4 linked regions of the Coturnix japonica genome follow. The protein of the gene in region 3 interacts with the protein of the main gene of each other region in a biochemical or structural test. Links are inferred from orthologs where the notes say so. Each region holds a gene or a part of one and is shown on either strand. Other genes may lie near its edges. The genes, in order: DCX, NUDC, PAFAH1B1 and NDEL1.

Evidence for each region.
Region 1: the proteins of PAFAH1B1 (region 3) and DCX form a complex in vitro, tested with the Homo sapiens proteins (2 studies listed by BioGRID). The link is inferred for Coturnix japonica from reciprocal best matches to the Homo sapiens genes PAFAH1B1 and DCX.
Region 2: the proteins of PAFAH1B1 (region 3) and NUDC form a complex in vitro, tested with the Homo sapiens proteins (3 studies listed by BioGRID). The link is inferred for Coturnix japonica from reciprocal best matches to the Homo sapiens genes PAFAH1B1 and NUDC.
Region 4: the proteins of PAFAH1B1 (region 3) and NDEL1 form a complex in vitro, tested with the Homo sapiens proteins (3 studies listed by BioGRID). The link is inferred for Coturnix japonica from reciprocal best matches to the Homo sapiens genes PAFAH1B1 and NDEL1.

Annotation. Positions count from the first base shown.
Region 1 is NC_029519.1:12,490,445-12,495,789, reverse strand, and holds the start of DCX (neuronal migration protein doublecortin), read right to left. Parts: upstream 3,500-5,345; 5' UTR 3,256-3,499; intron 1,684-3,255; 5' UTR 1,657-1,683; coding exon 1,293-1,656; intron 1-1,292. UniProt on the Homo sapiens protein: Microtubule-associated protein required for initial steps of neuronal dispersion and cortex lamination during cerebral cortex development. May act by competing with the putative neuronal protein kinase DCLK1 in binding to a target protein.
Region 2 is NC_029538.1:1,628,888-1,632,844, forward strand, and holds part of NUDC (nuclear migration protein nudC), read left to right. Parts: intron 1-366; coding exon 367-570; intron 571-674; coding exon 675-758; intron 759-1,091; coding exon 1,092-1,205; intron 1,206-1,613; coding exon 1,614-1,808; intron 1,809-2,314; coding exon 2,315-2,398; intron 2,399-2,608; coding exon 2,609-2,727; intron 2,728-3,957. UniProt on the Homo sapiens protein: Plays a role in neurogenesis and neuronal migration. Necessary for correct formation of mitotic spindles and chromosome separation during mitosis. Necessary for cytokinesis and cell proliferation.
Region 3 is NC_029534.1:8,195,329-8,200,025, reverse strand, and holds part of PAFAH1B1 (platelet-activating factor acetylhydrolase IB subunit alpha), read right to left. Parts: intron 4,330-4,697; coding exon 4,245-4,329; intron 2,293-4,244; coding exon 2,218-2,292; intron 1,183-2,217; coding exon 976-1,182; intron 1-975. UniProt on the Homo sapiens protein: Regulatory subunit (beta subunit) of the cytosolic type I platelet-activating factor (PAF) acetylhydrolase (PAF-AH (I)), an enzyme that catalyzes the hydrolyze of the acetyl group at the sn-2 position of PAF and its analogs and participates in PAF inactivation.
Region 4 is NC_029533.1:1,495,834-1,501,102, reverse strand, and holds the start of NDEL1 (nuclear distribution protein nudE-like 1), read right to left. Parts: upstream 3,372-5,269; 5' UTR 3,344-3,371; coding exon 3,293-3,343; intron 1,986-3,292; coding exon 1,888-1,985; intron 498-1,887; coding exon 344-497; intron 1-343. UniProt on the Homo sapiens protein: Required for organization of the cellular microtubule array and microtubule anchoring at the centrosome. May regulate microtubule organization at least in part by targeting the microtubule severing protein KATNA1 to the centrosome.

The sequences.
Region 1 (5,345 bases), on a different chromosome or scaffold from region 3:
TTTTTGCCCTGGGCATCCTCCTGGCAGCACCCACTGCAGCAGCCCACTGCTGCAGAGGCTGATCCCCATGGTAACTCCTTCATCCCACAGCCCAGGTGAAGCTCAAAGGAACAGGCGCACTGCCAGCCCCTCTAAAAACAGAGAAGCACCAAGCATCTCCTGTACACTCATGCCTTTTTTTCCATCCATCTTTTCCATGCCTTTTTCCTTCCATCTCATGAGATGCCCTCCCACACTTTCCCACAAAACTACCACAGCAGCCTGGCCCACAGCAGCACACAGTCTCTGTAGAAACACTCCTGAAATACATTTCCTTGCACACGCACACTCCATTTGGACATTCCAATATATCTACCTTCTATACATGCCCCACATGAACCCTACTCATACACAGCATGTGAACCCCCCCCTCCCCCCAACACTCCTTCCTTACACATCACTATGCAGGAATCCTCCAGCACCACCTCTTACACACAAAGCCCATCATCCCTCTACAACATTCTCTGAGTGTAATCCCTCCAACACACCCCCTGAGCACGAACTCGCTCTAGGAACCTTCCTTACAACTTCTTCTGCATATGTCTATGTATAAAAGCTCAAATTTCACCAAGTGAAACCCCTTTCAATGCTCCCTTTTCTTGTACACATGTTGATCTTTAATTGCCCCCCAAACACAATGCACAAGCTCCTGACACACCCCTCAACCCTTCTCAAATGCTGTCTGAGACACTAATATACCCCCTTAAACACACTCACTCCCCAATCCCAACGTTCCATAATCCCCTGCACATCTCAGCCGATGCTCCCATACACATTGTTCACGAGCCCTACACACTGCACACCCTTACTACACACTGTGCATAAATCCCTCCTACCCCCATCATACATTGTGCAGAAATCCTGTTACATACATACTGCACGAACCCACCACACATACAATCATAGCACTTTCTACTTTCATGCATCCAATCCCTGTGGGACCCTAGCCCAGTCCAGACAGACATAGGGATGCCCTCAGACAGCCCCTTGAGCCATGCATGCAGCCATGTCTAGTCCAGAGTAAGACACACCCCTCAAGCTCTGCATCTGCACTAGAGTGAGCATGCCGGCGGCACCCTGAGGGCTGCCACACTGCTCTGCATCTCTGTGCAAAGAAGAAGACAGGGCAAGTTCAGCACAGAGGGGCAGAAGCATCCCCATGCCTGCAGTAAATGTGACCTTAAGAACAGGGAAGTGGTGTAGCCCCCTTCCCACCCCGCCTCCTCACTGCACCAGCCAGCAATGGCAATTACCTTCCTCCAGCTCATCCATGCTTCCAATCTTCCGCGATCCATCAATGGTGTAAATGTAACGGACTCCCTGAGGCAGATTAATGTTGTCAGACAGGGACCGGGTCAGGTCAGCCAGGAGAGCATCAAAACTTCGGAAGCGGTCGGAAGACACAGCATATACAATTCCCTTGAAGTAGCGGTCCCCGTTGCGATAGAAACGAACTTTCTTGGCTTTCTTCTCAGAACTCAGGGTCTGTAGAGTACTGGTTCTGTAGAAGCTACAATGAGCGCTGTGAGTGGGGCTGGGCAACCCATTCATACGTGAGCCTCGCATGTTTCTGGACGCCTTGTCTCGTTCGTCAAAGTGTCCAAAATCAAGTTCCATAGTTTGGTGAACCCTAAAGATCTGAAGCTGAGCAGTAAGATGGGGAGAAAAGGAGTGTGAAAAGGACAGGTTAGAGCCAATCAGAGCCACAGTCCAGCAAGAAAAATGACACTAATGTGAGAGCTGCATCTGGAGCAGGCCAGATTTATTTGGGAAGCATCCCCTCCCCTGACCCAGATTTGTATTGATTCTGGGGACTGAGGGTAGGAGGGGTCCTCGCTGTGAAAGGGATCCAATTACTAGGGCCAGGGAACATATTGCTAGACAGCAGTCTGCTCCTGCACCTGGGAGTTTTCAAAGTGTAGTAAATGGGGACTTGAGGCCAAAGGGAGCTGCATCTCAGCCTCCAAAAACTCATCCAAACACCAGTTGGCAGTGAATTAAACCTCTGAGCCCTGTGAGGTTTCCTTTGGCAACAGAAAACAAGGAGATCCCAGTGAGTCAGCCCTTCAATCTGTCGAATCACGGAAGGAATCAGAGCATCTGAATATTTAACATTAGAATAAACTGGTATTTATGAAGGAATGGTCGCAGGGGACTAAGCAGTTTCTTTGTGACAGCCTGTTCAATAAGGGTTAACAATGAGATCCATCCCACCCCTCCCCCTATCCGCAGCCCCCTCCTAGCCCATCAATCAATTCCCAGGACCAGCCTACATCTCTAAGAAGAAATGACTGCAAAGAAAAATCTGTCATTGAAATGAGGCTTCTATGAGCTCTTTTCAGCAGCCTGAGCCTCCTCTGAATTGCATTTCTGCTCCCATTTAATGAGGAAGAGAAAATAAAGAAGCTATTTCAAACTCTTCCAATCCCACCCCCCCCTCCTGGTCTTAAGTGATTTAATTGCTGGAAGTGCCCCCTGCCCAAGGGACACACCGCCCCTGCCAGCTCACCTTTCATTGTTCTGAGCACAGGGGGGCTCCTAGCGCAAAGGAAGAGCTCAGAAAAGCAGACTTGAGCTGACAGACAGTAATCAGGAATTTCTGCATGGTCTTTATTTTATGCTTAAGAACAATCTCCCCCCCCCCCCCCCCCCTGCATTTCCCCCCCCCCCCCCCCTGCACCAAACCCCAACACAAAAGGAGTAGAAATCCCCCCAGTCCAGCTCTTTAATTCCCTCTGTAAACTAGGAACATGCAACTCACGTATGTTGCTTGCATGTTAACACAAGGCAGAAATAGGATTTACATCCCACACTTGGCAGCCAGGTACAAATCTAGGAAAAGCTGTTGCTATCAGTTCCCCACCCCTCACATTTGCCAGAACCGCTGCTTCGCTGTGTTTTACAATGTCACCGTGACCCGCACGGGAAAAATCATTGTCCTCAGCCTGCAGTAAAGCAGATGACAATGCAGGCAATCTGCAGAGAAACCCCAAGTTAGGAACGTTTTCTGCACAATGCCAGCTGGGGTATATTCAGTCGGGTGACATGTACTGAACAATGAAACATCCAAGCAACTTCGGGAATGAAACGGAGGATTCGGGGGTTTTGTTTAAAAATGAACTGCAGATGCTGTAAGGTACTAAAAGAAAGATTCCTCCTTCCATCTGACATCTGCTACTTTTCTGCATGCAAGTCACTCGAAAGAGCTCTACTCACCGGTTTTCAGCGCGCAGGGTGGAGATGCTGAGAGAAAGAAAACCAGGCTCGCTCTGCCTTTGTTGTCTGAGCTCCAAGCAAGAAATTCCTGCCAGGGTGGATGAGACGCCTCCTAGGTCCTAGTGCCTTGTTCGATCCCTTCATGGTAACTTTGCCTCAACGGCTTTTACTCTAATCATCATTCATCTTATTGTAGTCTTCTCTGTATCTGAGAGGGGAAAAAAAAGGGTGTGTTCATTCCAGCTCTGGATATGTTAATAGATGGTTAAGCAAAAAAAAGTTTAAAGGGGCAAGTTTGGGGCTTGTGTTCTGAAGGAAGTAAATTTCTCCTTGGCTTTAACTTCACCAAGAAAGCATCTGGCCCCACTGAAAATAGAGCATAATTAGACACACTAATTTTATAGGATTACAGTATGGGGAGGTCATGGCTACTAGCTTACTATGTCCTACAGTTGCTGGCACAAGGCTTTAGTGTACTAGTAAAGCAACTTAAGAAAAAGTTAACCAGTGGCACTGGGCCCAGTTCTGCTGCCGTACTGGTTTCACACGGCATTCATGGTTTATACTGGCAAGCTGGAAGGGACAATTGACTTGGTGGTTACATATGCAGTGCACTTGAATAATTTTTCTCTGTTAACACTGGACATAAGTCAAAACCAAAGCTCTGAATTCAAGTACCCAAGGGGTTCGGGATGGAGTCAATCAACACAAACCTAACCCAACAGATTCAATTTGGCTTAAATCCCAAACAAACAACAAAAAAAATTGGACTCAACTGCAGGAGAATTCAGCTGTTCCAAAATTGCACTAACCTCTTTCCCTGAGACAACAAAATCTTCCACCTGCTTTGTAAGAGAGATTTCCATCCCATATGTAGAGGAGCAGCACTGCAAACCCCACTCCTAACCCTGTTGGAGCTGATATTATCTTTATTTTAAATAAGGCTTGGAAATGGGAGGGTCTTCCCATGTGTAGAAAGAAATCTTTCCTAACAAAGCTCTGTCTGTTTCGAATGAAATTTTTTCTTCATTCTGGCACATTATGCATTTAAACAGGAAATATATATATATGTGTGTGTGTGTGTGTGTGTATAAAATAGTACTTATTCCAGCTTTGTCTGCCCTGTAGATGATTGGCCAGGCAGTGCTGACAAATCCACTCAAAGCACCTCTTCCCAGCAATTTTCACACATAACAGTTGTGAAAAAGTTTTCTTCTTCCCTGAAACCCTCTTTTCATTCATATAAGGTTCCCTCGCATCCTCTGCAAAAGCTGTCATCTGCTCCCTTTGTGCTTTGTGGAATCACTATAGAGGAAACCACAGACCTACTCTCCCTCCTCAAGAATTAGTACTCAAGAGGACCACAGCAAAGAGCAAGATCTGGGTGTGTTTCAGCCTCTGCATGTAGACACAGGCAGCAGGAGGCACTTCAAGGATTCTCCTTCTCATTCCCAAATTAGATATATAGACATTCATCACCGTGCGCTTAATCTGTCCACGATAAACAATTCTTCCCTATACTATATATGACACTGTACTAAGTTCTCATCTTTTTAAAATGCAAAGATATGAATTATTATACATGTGCTCAGCACAGTAACAGCAAAAACAGAGGAAAGGAAATAAAATTTAGTCTTCAGTGGTGCATGCCTAAGGCATTTGGATACTGGTTAGGGGCAATGGGGAAGGGTGATGTAAATTCACGCAGTCTGTGGAACTGCACAACTTATCTCCCAAGTTTGACTTCTATGGAGTTTATGAAGACAGCAAATAGTCTCAAACAGTATTAAAATACAGCTCTTCTTTCTAACCCTGAAACCTCATCCACCAATGAGAAAATGAAATGTGTATATATATGGACATGCTTGCTCAGGACTCTACCAGACACTTTTGAGCACGGGCAGGTGCTTTTAAAAGCATTCAGATTTAAGCTCATTTTACTCTGTCAAGAAACCAGGTTATTTGTTCCTGACTGAAGGATAAGGCTTCTACAGTCAGTGGTAACAATGTTCATCTTCGGTGTAACCCAGTTATTTGTATAAGGTGCCCAAATCGCGGGAAGTACAATTGTCCCCCTTTAATCCCGCCAC
Region 2 (3,957 bases), on a different chromosome or scaffold from region 3:
GTTAAACTGTGATACCGATTGATTTCTGCTAGATTCTGCTGTTGCAGTGGTAACAAAGTTTTCAGGAGCTATAGAAACTCTTCATGGCAGAGGTTTTGTAATGCAGACATTAATATGCCTGGGGAAAGCTCAGCTGTGGGACAGGTCAGAAGTAGGTATAAAAACTAGGTCCAGTGTCTCCGTTCTTCCAGCTTTCATTGGTTGTATGGAGTAGCTGTCAGATGGGTTAGGAATGCTGGAATAGCACAGAAAGCAAGAAAGCAAAAAATACCTTGCTATATAGTGAGTTGGCTTCGTTTGGGTTTGGAAAAGAAAAAAAAAGGTAATTTCTTTTTAAGCCCTTTGGTGTGTGTTCTTGTCTTCCAGCTGATCACAGACTCCTTCAACCATCACAACAAACTGGCTCAGAAGGAGCGGAAGGAGAAGAAGGCTCGTCAAGAGGCAGAACGACGGGAAAAGGCAGAGAGAGCTGCAAAGCTTGCCAAAGAAGCAAAACAGGAAGCAAATGAGCCAAGGATTAAGGAACTTACAGACGAAGAAGCAGAAAGGCTGCAGCTGGAAATAGATCAGGTGAGAGCTTTGCTTGGCACACAAGGGTACCAGCAAGTATGTCAGATGAGCAAGTAATACAAAAGTATCAGCTATCCTAATGTGTTAATTCTGTTTTTAAACAGAAGAAAGAGGCACAAAAGGAGGTTAACAATGTCCCAGTGAAATCCTCAGAGGATGATGGTGATGCTTCAGATTCTAATGAACAGGTAAGACTCATCCAGTGATTTCATTTTGGACTGAGAGAAATATGTTTCTGAATAACCATGTGAACTCCTGTAAATATTAGGGGATGTCCTGCCTGCTTTTCTTTGAGAGGATGCACTGAAACTGATTTTCTCTTCTGTACTGTGTCCTGGTCATAACAATATTTAATTCTCAATATAATTTTCTTTTAACAGAAACACCTTTTCATTTTGGGTTAAATTTATGCAAATATCACATATGTTCAACTAACCCGAAACTCTTATAAAAATCTGGAATTGTGAAGGGTATATGGAGACTTGAAAAAACTTCCTTTCCCTTTTACATTGGCTGATTAGGAAACAAATGAAGACGATAAAGATGAGAATGATAAAGGAAAACTTAAGCCCAACTCTGGCAATGGAGCTGACCTCCCAAATTACAGATGGACGCAGACTCTTTCAGAGCTGGATGTAAGTACTGCCTTATATACGGATCTGAGGAATCTTAGCCACAAAGTATGTGCTGGTAAGAACAGTGATCCTGAAGGTTGTTAATTTTACTTAATGACAACATTCCAGTAGCTGAGGGACAGCCTGGTAATTAAATTAAATTCCCAGAAGCTGTAGGTAGCTCTACTTTCTACAAAGCGTTGGCAAACAAAGTTAGAACAGGACATGAAAATCTGCTTCCCTTCCTTAAAGATACATTGACCACCCAGTTGCTAAATTTACACTTGTATCCTTTCACCTCTTGCTTGACCAATGAGAATTATCGTATCTTACTCTGGCAAAAGGCAAAGTGTCTTACAACAGCAGCTCAAGAGGGCAAGGAGAGACTTAATTGCTCTGCTCCTCATGTCTGACCTTTGTCTGTTCCAGCTGGCCATCCCTTTCAAGGTGAACTTTCGGCTGAAGGGGAAGGATGTGGTGGTGGATATCCAGAGACGGCGCCTCAGAGTTGGCCTGAAAGGTCATCCCCCTGTTATTGATGGAGAACTTTTCAATGAAGTGAAGGTGGAGGAGAGTTCCTGGCTGATTGAAGATGGTAAAACAGTCACTGTGCACCTGGAGAAGGTAAAGCAGCATTAATTGGGGAGGGCTGAGACTTGTCTGCCACTTTCCTGGTGAAATCAGAATCACCAAACACAGGGCTTTATAAAGCTGGAACAGAAGAATCATGCTTGTCCTTGGTGCAGTGTTAGTGATGCTATGGAAGCCAGGGTGTTGCCACTTGATCCTGTCTGCAGGGAGGTGAGAAAGTGTCACAGGTTGCCCAGAGAGGTGGTGATGCCCCATCCCTGCAGACACTCAAGGTCAGGCTGGAAGGGCTCTGAGCACTGATGGAGCTGTAAGTGTCCCTGCTCATTGCAGGGGAGTTGGACCAGATGGCCTTTAAAGATCCCTTCTAACCCTAAGGATTCTATCATTCTGGATAGCTGAAGTGGTTAGAAATGAAAGTGGTGCCCCTTATTCACGTTCAGATTGTACTGATGCTTAGAGAATAAAGTTTAATTCCAGACACAGCATGCTAAGAGCAAGTCCAGGAAAAAGAAATAACTTTTGCTTCTTTGTTCCCTCAGATCAACAAGATGGAGTGGTGGAACAAACTAGTCTCCACAGACCCAGAGATCAACACCAAGAAAATCAATCCAGAAAACTCAAAGGTAAGAACTCCCTCTGTTTGAATGAACGAAGCCTTCCTATCTTAGAGGTGCTCCCAAAACTTCAACTAAATAAAGCTGAGATAAGTTAGAGTGTCTGATATTTCTCTAGCCAGTGCACACAGCATTGTGTGCATCAGAATACCCGTGTTCTGTGCAAGCAGAATAATGTGTGTGTGTGATTTCAATTCTGATGGAATTCCTTGGTTTCAGTTGTCAGACCTGGACAGTGAGACTCGCAGTATGGTGGAGAAAATGATGTATGATCAGCGACAGAAATCCATGGGCCTTCCCACATCTGATGAGCAGAAGAAGCAAGGCATTTTGAAAAAGTGGGTATACCTAATTGATCTGTGGGTACTGGCTTTCCCCTCTTCATCCTTCACACCAATATATAGTGGTGTTATAGAGGATCAGGTCGCCCTTCAGTGCTACCTGAGTTCAAATCTACAGTTACAAAGTCATTGAATTGTTGGCTAACCACCAGCATCTATAAAAGCCAATGGGGGTAGATAACATAATGGGAAGTTCTGGGAATAGTCCAGCTCTGGTATTGTCTTAATCTTCTGATTTCAAGTCCAGAAAGCATGTTTGAGCATAGAAGTACTGACTCCAGTGAACTTTAACATGGTCTTGATTGTTTTCTAATCTCCCTCTACTCAGTAGCCCAGATAATCTCCCTTACACACCTGTCACCAGACAGCTATCTCCAAGCCAATAGTCCTTTTATGCCTTTATTGCCTTGTTTGGCACAAACGCACCTTGGCAGGGAAATTACTCATGGAGCCCCCAAGGCCAGGCAGGGAGGCGTGGAGGCAGTTCTGAGTCAGGCATCTTCCTTGGAAAGTGCAAACCCACATCTCAGGGCTGGAGGGAGGATTGGTGTAGCAGACCTTCCTTCTGCATCTGGCTCCTTCCTCAGCTTATCTGTTCTGGCAGAAGCTTTGCTCTGAATGGTGTGCTGAGTTTAGAGTAGGGTGAGACTCTTAAAGACCAGATTTCCTCAGTGCCTGAAGGAGTTGTGGAATGGCAGGTCGTCTTTGCCTGCTGGAAAGTGCACATGAAGGATATCACAGCGAGACCACTGGTTCAGTGCTCTGCAAGCTTGGCCCATGTGCAGATTGGCTGGTAAAGAATGGATAGGAAGTTTAGACTGAAGTGGACTGGGTGACACCCAGGTGGGTTCTGATCTCTGCTGTTGAGTTCCTCCTGGCTGCTCAACAAGGATGCTGCTCTCACAGCACATATTTCCGTGGAGATGGAAAGTTTCATGTTAAACACAGCATTTCATGTTAAACAGAGGGATATGGGGGGTCTGCCCTGTCCTCCCCCTCATGCATACACCCTCCACATGGTTGTGTTGAATCCCATGGTGAAATGCAGGGCAGAGGAGGAATGCAGGGGCATCTCTATGCCCTAATACCCCACTCCTGGTCTCCTGTAGGCACAGGTCAGTTCTCAGAACTTTCTGATGTGGCAATCTGTGTCCAAATAGTCCTATCTGCTGAGACTGCAGTACATTTGAAATCAGGTTGTGCCTAGTCTCAGGTTGCACTGGAGAT
Region 3 (4,697 bases):
GTTTTAATGTGATCATTACTCATATATCCTATACATCTTTTTGTACTCTTTCCTCAACTCTGGTACACAGCCTGTTTTCAGCTAGTGGGGGAAGCACCTTCAAAAACTCCCCCTGCTCCTATTTCGTGGTTTCAGAAACTATTCACTGGTTCAGAGTCAAACAGCAAACACTTCGTCTACTGCAGAGCAATAACCAGAAAATACTGGGTTAGGGATGAGAACCCAAACCACAACTAAAATAACCACATTCACTGTCAGAACAATTTACATTTCTAAGCACATTACTTTCAATACCTTTCAACCTTTGTCAGGACTGCATTTTCCCAAATAAGTTTTCAAAGCAACACAGATGGCAATTTCTCTTAAACAGTGACATTCAGAGAGCAACAAAATGCACAATTATATCTTTGCTTGGTGCTAAAATGAGAAACTACTTGCCTACTACAACAAATCTGTTCTTGTCACTGTATACTGCAATAAAGGTGTGTGAAGATTGTTTAGAATTACTGAAAGTCTCTCCTGAAAGTCATAGCAACCTCACGGGACCTGCACATGTCACTTAAAATAAATGGGAAGAACCATTTTTCAGTTAAGAATACAGCTGCATAACCACTCTACTCTAAGACTTAGATGACTTGAGGCCACTGTCTTCTTCCCTCTCATCTCTGTATGCTCCCTATGCCCTCTTACAGAGCAGTCAAAACGTATTCCCCCATTTATTGTTCCAGTCTCCGATCCACAGTAGCTTAAGTATTTCTTCACAAGTCACGGTAAAACATAATTGCAGATACTAACTGGATCAGTATAAAACCAAAATTCATATATTATACCAGAAATCACATTTGAAATAACTGTCCCTAATGAAGCTAAAGCAGAATCTGGAGCAATCTTTCATCACTACAACACACATCCACCATGAAATTCTAATGCTACATTCTTAGCAGCTTCCTTTAATTTTTTCCAGCAAGCACATACCTTTATTGTGGCATCCTCTGAAGCAGAAACCATTACACTGAAAACCGGATGGAAAATTACTCGAGTGACAGGACTCCTATGTCCACTCAAAGCATACTTCTCCGGAGGACGAGGAATCCACTCCTTAGGGTCTCGTTTCTGACCAAGAGGCCCACCTGATGTAAATTCTTCCTTAGCTTCATTCAGCTTCGATTCTAATTCCATTACCTAAGTTTATGGGTTTTAAAGAGACCAGTTATGTATAGCCTTACACCAAGACCTAAATCATCTATAGTCATTAGTACCACCAACAGGCTTCCAAATTCACAATGAAGCACAGACAGCAGAGATCCAAACCAGCTAACATCAAACTATAGAGCTAATATTTCGAAATAAATTAAAATTTAAAATAAAAAAAAAAATCAGACCTAAATCAAAGCACTTAATCTCCTCCAGCTTCCCAAACACTTCTGGCAAGAAAATAAAGTTCCACCAAAACATATCACCTAAATACTGTGCAAAGATGTACAAGCAACTGACTCAAAAGAGATAAGGTTTTTGTGTATGTTTCTTGCTTATCTGGCACTTCTGATGAACTATTGAGGGAGTTTTTGTTAATGAAAACATATCCTACTACTGCAATTTGTTCTTTTGTATCCCTGAGATGGTGTGCATGTTAACCAACAGCAGAGAAACTGAACACGTGATACAATCTTATGTAGACTGACCTCTATAGTAGATAGGCCATTATTGTTGGTACACTTTGATTTTTAAAGCTTTTAATACCCTCCAGACCCACTGAAGCATTACTAAAAAGAGTTTTGTACCATCCATTTGCAGAAGAATCACATGCTGTTGTGCACTGGAGTTAATGGCTTCTTCCCTTTAATGTAATGGCTAAAGACATCAGCAGCATGGGGTACTTCTGAGTTAAGCCTTCTGGAGACAGTTATTCAGTCTTTCCATTCACAAACTGCCTTAGGGCACATCTTTCCTTTTCTGCCTCATACAACCCATAAACTGAAGTAAATAAAGGTTCTTAAAAAACACTAGCACTAAGATGGACAAAGACTTTTTTTTTTTTTTTAACAACACGGACATGCCCATTCTCCCTACTCAAATCAACCAAATTAATCTTTGAGGTATTTTCTAAACCCTGCATTTGTCTGAGAAATAAAAAAAATGTAATATTCTGTTCACTGATGAATGTTCACTCTTGGTTATAACTTCTGATACAAGTAAATCTATCAGATCTCTACTTACCTTCTTTTGCAATCTTATAACTGATGTCCATTTTTTCTCCAGAAGCCCGGCATACTTCTTATCTAACTCTTCATTCTGGGTAGGAGCGTTTAAAGAAATCAGTAAGTTCTATGTCCAAAATGTCTCTACAAGTCTCTCCAAAAGCAACATGAACAGCTCATTTTACACAAAAATCAAACGCAAGACTACAACCAGTCTTACTAATAAAAGGGAACAACCATACTTAAATTTTAATAACTACTGTTTACACACAGGGAAAAAAAGAAACTTTTAAATAAATAAATATTAAAGATAATCAGTAATACAGGTTAACAATGAAAGATTCTGCAAAGACAATCCCAAAAACTAGGACCAGACATCAATATCTGAAAGCTTTTTACTCTTATGTGCTTCACGTATCTGAGGAAATTGTGTTCCATTTTGTTCTTTTTCCTCCTCCTGCACATACTGACAGCAAGGACTGAGGCATACAGGACTGGACATCAGTTTCTCCAAGAGCCTTGTTTTCCATATCCACCAACCAGAGCATCAGGAACTAGTGAACAACCTACATAGCTCAGACTGAGCTCACACAGTACTGTTAGCACAGCACCCTTCCTTCTCAGGGAAAGGCACCTTGTTTGAGAGCAGCAGCCAACATCCAGAGGACAATTTAGCCCAAACTAATTTAGAACTATTTCTGAAAATGTGGTAATAGTTAACTTCAAATAACTACCATAACACTGCACAGGAAAAGAAGATTTAATTAGGTTGATAGATACAAGCAAATAAGTGAACGGTACTAGGAATTTCAACGTTAAATATCCCAATTTGTAATCTCTACTTATTTATTGCATACTTAGAAGCAGACTTTGCTGCTATAAGATATTATACTTCAACAAAGGATTTGGGGGAAAGGACACCACAATAATTCTAACAAAGAGAAGGATCTAGTAAGGATCATCTTTGAGTTTACTACTCAAGGCAGCTATCTCCAGAGAAGCAAGCTGCAGTGAAATGCAAGCCTCTAGTAAACGACAAGTTTAAAATTTAAGCTGTAAGAAATGACTGGTCCATGTCACCAGAATCCCTCCAGCCTGACAGAGAACTGCTTACCAGAGCTGATCAGCTTCTGTTAACTGTTTAACCTTGCCCTCCTACTACATCATTAACCAACTAGTATGCATGCAACAGTCACAGGTAATGGTTTAACTACTTACCCAACTGCAGTCACAATACAGACAAGGTCTTTTCCAAATTCAACAAAACCTTTCACTCAAAGCCAGGTTACCTGGAACTGCTCAGGACACATCCACATACTTATTGAGTATTTCTAGGGACTGACTCTACAACATCTGAGCCTGTTTCACTGCTCAGTCAAAAGGTTTTGTTTTTTAAAGTTCCACACTAAAAATCAGATGGAATTTCTGTGTTTCAGTTTCAGCCCATTGGCTCTTGTTCTGTCACTGAGCAGAGCCTAGTTCTGTTTTATTTACACCATCTCACCAGGTATTTACAAACAACATAAGATCTCCCTTGAGCTTCCTCTTCTCTAGGCTAAACAGCCTCAACTCTTGCAGCCAGTACGGAAGATACTCTGTTCCTTTACTGATCTTCCTTGTCCTTTACTGGACTCACTTCAGTAACTCCATGTCTTTTTTTTATTTTTTAAATACAGACTTTATCATCTTCCTTATACCTTCACATTGCCTTTCATTAACTTTGCTTTCCAGCACCTTTCATCTTGAAGGATCTAGGCCCTCTCAGGGTCACCATGCAAAGGAGTGTTAGCCAGACAGAAAGTAAGATTAAGTCTATGCCTCAGTCATGAGAAGATAAAGAGTTTTACTCAAAACACTTTAAGTCATCTGCTAATTGTGTTCTAATTGTATGGTAAGACAATAAACTATGCATGTGTACCACCTCCAGTTCTATCCGCATGAGCCAATAGGTAGATAACAGGCATACATATTCACAACAGATGCAAATACCATAAAGTGATAAACTCTTTACTTAAAATACACACAACGAATTTTGTTTGAACTCACCACATCTAATTCAGCTTCCTTTTTAAAAACTGAATATGCCTCTTCATAGCCATTAGAGCGAAGGTAATCTGCTATTGCTCGATTTCTAAAAAACACAAAACCAAAAACAGTATCTTTAGCCTGTTAGTTCTGAATAAGAGTACACGGATTGATTCAGGGCTTTTTGTAATTCTGTTGTTTGAATTGTACCACCTCAGATCAATACCCAGGGTGACCAGGTTTCTTACAAGCCCAGGCAAACTCTAAGAATACACTTGGTAAACATATTGTTTCAAGACACAAATAGCAACACTCACTTCTTAGAATACATACTCCTTAGTTTAGATTTGAGAAAGTAAAAGGTTACTTTTTTTACTACCAAACATTGGAGTAGCATGAATATACCTATCAATCTGTATGACACAACCTACAGGAGACATAAGAAGTGATAACTACATGTACGTACTAGTCTGG
Region 4 (5,269 bases), on a different chromosome or scaffold from region 3:
AAGCCCAAAAACTGCAAAGAAAGAGGACAACATGGTGGTCTGACAAAACATACTTGTGTTGTCCTCCCCGTTGCTATGCTGATGCTGCCTGTGTACATAACAAAGCCACCACTTGGCGAAGCCTGCAGAATATAAACAGAGGAGCACAAACTCAATGACAAGTGTCTAAGGTATGCTGCTGGCCTTATTTGGAGTACATGCCATGCTCAAGACTAGACCTTAAGCAGATGATTCCCTTTACTTCGTTTAGGTATCCAATAACCAAGAACAAGAACAGACAGCCTAAAATGAAAGCCGACACATATCTGAAGGAAGAATCAATATCATTACAGATTAGACCTACCTTTAATGTTTCCACTTCATATTTCAGCCTTTGGTTATCTGCTTGTAAATCTCTATTCCTCTGCTCAGCCTGCACCAGCTGTGCTTCCAACTCAGCTTCTAGTTCTCTGCTTCCCTCCTGAAATTCAGCCAGCTCTTCACGAGCTTCCTGGAAGCTGTAAGGAGATTTCATCAGTTCAAAATGCAGCTTCTCTCAAGCACAAAGTTCACCGCTCTATAGAAATAATTAGGTGAAAAAGCACCAAGAGTTTTAAAGTACTTAACCAGGGACCTCTACAGGGAAAGTAAAAACTGGGGGAAACAGAGAAACTGCATTGTTTACCTACAAATGGAAATTCAGCCCTTTATATCAAATAACTCTATTCAATACACATGCAAATACAACCTATATCAAGGCTATTTCCAGGATTCCTGCAAGTCTGACACTTGGTACCCCACTAGCCTTCACTCTAGCAGCCTTGAGAGAGTCACTAAGTAAAGCTTTTAACCTGCTTTAGGCAAAAACCAGCACAGAACAATAGTCACTGCATCTCAGCACTACCTGGAAATATAAGTTTGCTGGAAAGCATTAAGGTTTGGATCTCAGGGTTACTAAGTGCTTTGGTAGGAAGCCAGCATTTACCCACCTTATGCCACTGCAAGGTATTAAATTACTAGAAGCAGCAACTCCACATATTTCACTAATTACACTCTCATCTTTACCATACGTAATAGCTCAACTCTTTGCAACCAGCAGAGAAAACTGATGATATTTAGGAAGCTACATATTCATTGGCCTCAGAGAGACCTGACAGACTTTTCTCATACAGCTCAGGGATCTCAAATGCCCACCCTCTGTTCCCTACACCCAGAAAACAGACCCAAACAAAACAACAGCTTGCACACTGGGCTCCTTGGACTTGAGAGAGGTTTAGCTGGCTTTGCTTCTATTGCACACTAACATAGAGTGCAAGTAAAGCTCTCCAAAGGCAATGAGCAGGAAACCACCACTACTGACTCCCCTCCCCACAACAAACCACAAGCAGCACACAAGACAACAAGTTCTCTTGCCACTTTTTGTAACCAAAAAGCCTTCTGCTCCCCTTAAAAGATGGCAGAGGCAAACACAGGCAGAACTATGAGCTATAATGAATGTGCTTCAACATATTGCAGCCAGCTACCAAATAAGAAACTTCTCAGACCAAGTGCAAGAAGCCTGAGGGAACAGTAATGATACCAGGCAAACCCACAGGCAGTCTTCCTACTGCAAAACATCAAGCTAGTACTTAAGACAGCATTTTAATTATACAAACATACACATGATCATAGAAGAGCTCTTCTCCTGCTCTAACGTGCTCAGTCTTGAGTTCATGGCATAGTAACACTGAGAATGAAATACTCAGCCTGCACAAGGCTGGATCTAAAAGCTGCACCTAAAGCTGGAAATGGTGAGATTCATTTTAATACATCTAATGCTCATTTTGATTAAAGTCTAGCAGAGAAATAGATTAAGCTACATTCTCAGTCATCTAGAACCAAATCCACTCTGAAAATATCCAACAGTACCTTTGTTTGTACTTCAAGGAAAGCTCTTTCCAATAGGCAGTTTCCTCTTTTGGACTTGAGAAGGTTGGAATTTCCTCACTGTCCATGTTCAATATGACCTGTAGGATGCAGACATAAGAAAACGCTTAGTATGATGAGGCAGGCAGAGTAACCCCCCACTGCTGCTGTACTTCAAAGCTGTGGCCTGTCAGGAGCAAACAGACTTGAGACTGGCCTGCAGAATGTTAATGATTCCTAACAGCCACCTCTGAGCAAAGACCAGCTGCAACAAGTAACATCATGGTCTCCAACCTCTGGAAACGCTCATGCAGCAGCCTGAAAAAGAGACCACAAAATTGGGCTGTATCATTCACCGACCATGGAAACAGCAGTTAAAGCCACTGGCTCATTTAGGACCACCAGGGGTAATGATTTACAGCTATCACAGTTTCCACTTGGATTTGTAAAAGGTTTTTCCTACAGTGCATAGTACAAACACTGTTCACTATGACTGCACACGAGAGCACCCCACACACCAGACCTCAGATGTTACTGAAGATGACGATGAGGATGAAGCAGTGCTGGTGGTGGACCTGCACTCACTGCAGCACCCAGGGATACACTCAGCCAGGCCCAGCTCCCAGCCCCAGGCAGCTCCATTCCATTTCCAAGCTCCCTCTTACTCACAGGTAGCCATTTTTTTTCTTCCTCTCCAGAAAACACCATTTAAAATAGATCATAAATCTCCAGAAAAGAATAAGCTGAAACTCACTTCTGTTGCAGAGGCTTTAAACAATGTTTGTACCAAGCTCGTCACAGCAGATTAATCACTGCAGATGACCTAGAAGCCTTGACTTTCACATACTGACAGTCATCAATAGCCAATGCTGTCCCTCCAGGCCTGAAAGTGTCACACTGTCATGCTCTGCATCTCAGTGACCCACATTTGAGACACCCAGAAGTGGGACAATATGATGACAGCACTCCCATCAGAGGGCACAGCAGCCCATCCATTCTGGCTCACACCTAAAGCACAGCCAAACTGGCACACTGCTCTGCAGCTGCTACAACCCAGGGCATGAAACCAACCTTACCTGCAGGGTGCTCAGTACATCCAAAAACCCTCAGCTCTCTCTCTGTCTTTACTTAACTTACAGCTGTGCTGCAGTAGCACTCTGTGACGAACCAGGCCTTCATGCTGCCTGAGCCAACTGACCATGCCTCCTTTTCTACACGGCCCTGAGCTGAGAATAAAACAATAGGAGGCACCACCATTCCCCCCAGCACCACAGTCCTGCTGTATCTCTTCAGATGAAAATCTCTTGGGGTGTATGTGCTTCAGTTATTGCACCTGTTACCAAGGCAGTTTAATGACAACAGGAACAAATCAGCTGTGTTTACAGTGGATGCAGAGCCCATGAATCACCTCCTGAGCTGCCAGTGTCTCACAGGCTGATGCATTAAGGCAGGCAGACATCTGCTGTGGCTCAGGCACACGTCAAGCAGCTCCTGAACTGCTATGCAGATCTGTGGGTTGAGGAAGAGGTGAGCAGTTGATTACTGCTGCGTGCTGTCCATAACATCAGTCCCACACCAATCACATTGAAACCACCTCAGCAGAAGTCACAAGGCTCTTGGCTCTCAGCTGGCACTCTCAAGTCAGCCAGAATCACTTTTTCACCTCATTAAATGAAGCACCGCATTGAACAGGGTCAGCCCCACAGCTGTGTCTAAAGGTAAACAACCAAGGAACCACCCATCAAGCTGAATTCAGAGAAAAGTCAGTACGAGGAAGTGCCTTACATCATTTCCTAGAAGCAGCCACGATAACGTGTGTCTGGGTCCAAGACTCCTTCCTGTCTGCTTGCACAAGACACACCCTTGGAACCAACACCCTGCAAGCAGCAGCCAGCAGCCAGCAGTGCTGGGACCCCCATGTTCATCAGAGCCCCACTCTTCCTCCAAAGCCACCTCCCAGAGGGACAGAGCAGACCTGCCATAGGCAGTGCCCCAGCCTTGTCCATCTCATCATACAGCAACAGCTCACAGCTCCCCACGCTCCGTGTTTTCCATCACACCTAATGCTGCCACCACTGAGTTTTGATCCACCAACCTCACTACAGAAACACCTCCATCCGATGCTCATGCCAACATGCCAGCTAAGCACTCCTGCAGACAAGCTTTTACTGTCTGTCTTCTCTCCCATGCCTGGGGGACAAGAGAAAGATGAGAGCAGGCTCACATCATCCACAGCTGGTCAGAACCATAAATACTGCTTTGAGGGTTAGGAGACACAGACAGCTCCCAACCTGCACCTTTCCCTTCTGCCATCCGTTGCCCATAGTGGGGCAAAAAGCAGCTCCACAGCACTAAGAGAATCTAACACAACCCTGACCATGCGTGGGACAGTGGATGCCCACGGCATGCCAAGAGCTGGATACAAAGCGCCGTGCTGAGCGCACTGTTGGCTGCATTGGCTGCAGGCATTGTGCAGAGCTGAGCCCAGCACAAGCCCTTCCCATTCAGAAGCTCCTCTGTATACGTGGCATTTGCAGAATCGGGCCTTTGACAAACAACACTGGGGCTTTCAGGAGCAGACAAGACAATGCAGCAGCGTCTTCCAGGGAAAATGAGAGCAGGCTCATGTGGATGCCCACTCAGAATTCATTACAACACAGCTTAGCATTCACTCAGCACCCTGGGAAAACTCAGTTACACGGGCAGAACTCCAGATCCGAGCAGCTCTACAACAAGAGCTATGTTCAAAATGCGATGGCTCCTTTCAGGCGCCCATTACACAGTCAGTGGGACAGAGCGACTCTGCACCTAAATTGGAACAGTATTTCCACACTATGATTGCTCCTAAAAACTGGAGCTTGTAGGTTACAAACTTCACTAAGTCGTGTTTTGGTGTTCTTATTTACTTATTTATCTGATTGTGATCTGGCTTCCTGTTCCCAAAAGCATTCTTGCAAGTGGGTCACTCAGTACTTTCCAGATCTTAAGAGACTCAAAGCCTGAATCCAACACACAGCAGAACCAGCTAAACTAACAGGTCAGCAGCATTGCCCTCGAGTGCATCAGTGAATCTTGCAGCCAACTGATATTTTCATGGAGCCACCTCTCAGCTGAGCCATTAAAACACAAGCAGGAATTATAACAGAGAACCTTAGAACAAGCTCCCCTGGCTCCCCATGTGACTGGTGATAGCTTGGATCAAATGTCCCACCAGAACACTAAGCCTGAAACACAACACGATGCTCAAATGTGACAGGCCACAGTGCTGGCACCACCACAGCCACAGTTCTTTTTGCTGACCGACAGAGGTAATACAAATGTCAGCTGACCTTTGGAATGAACCAAATAACTGCCTGCAATGGGACTTGATAAGAGACCCTGTCAG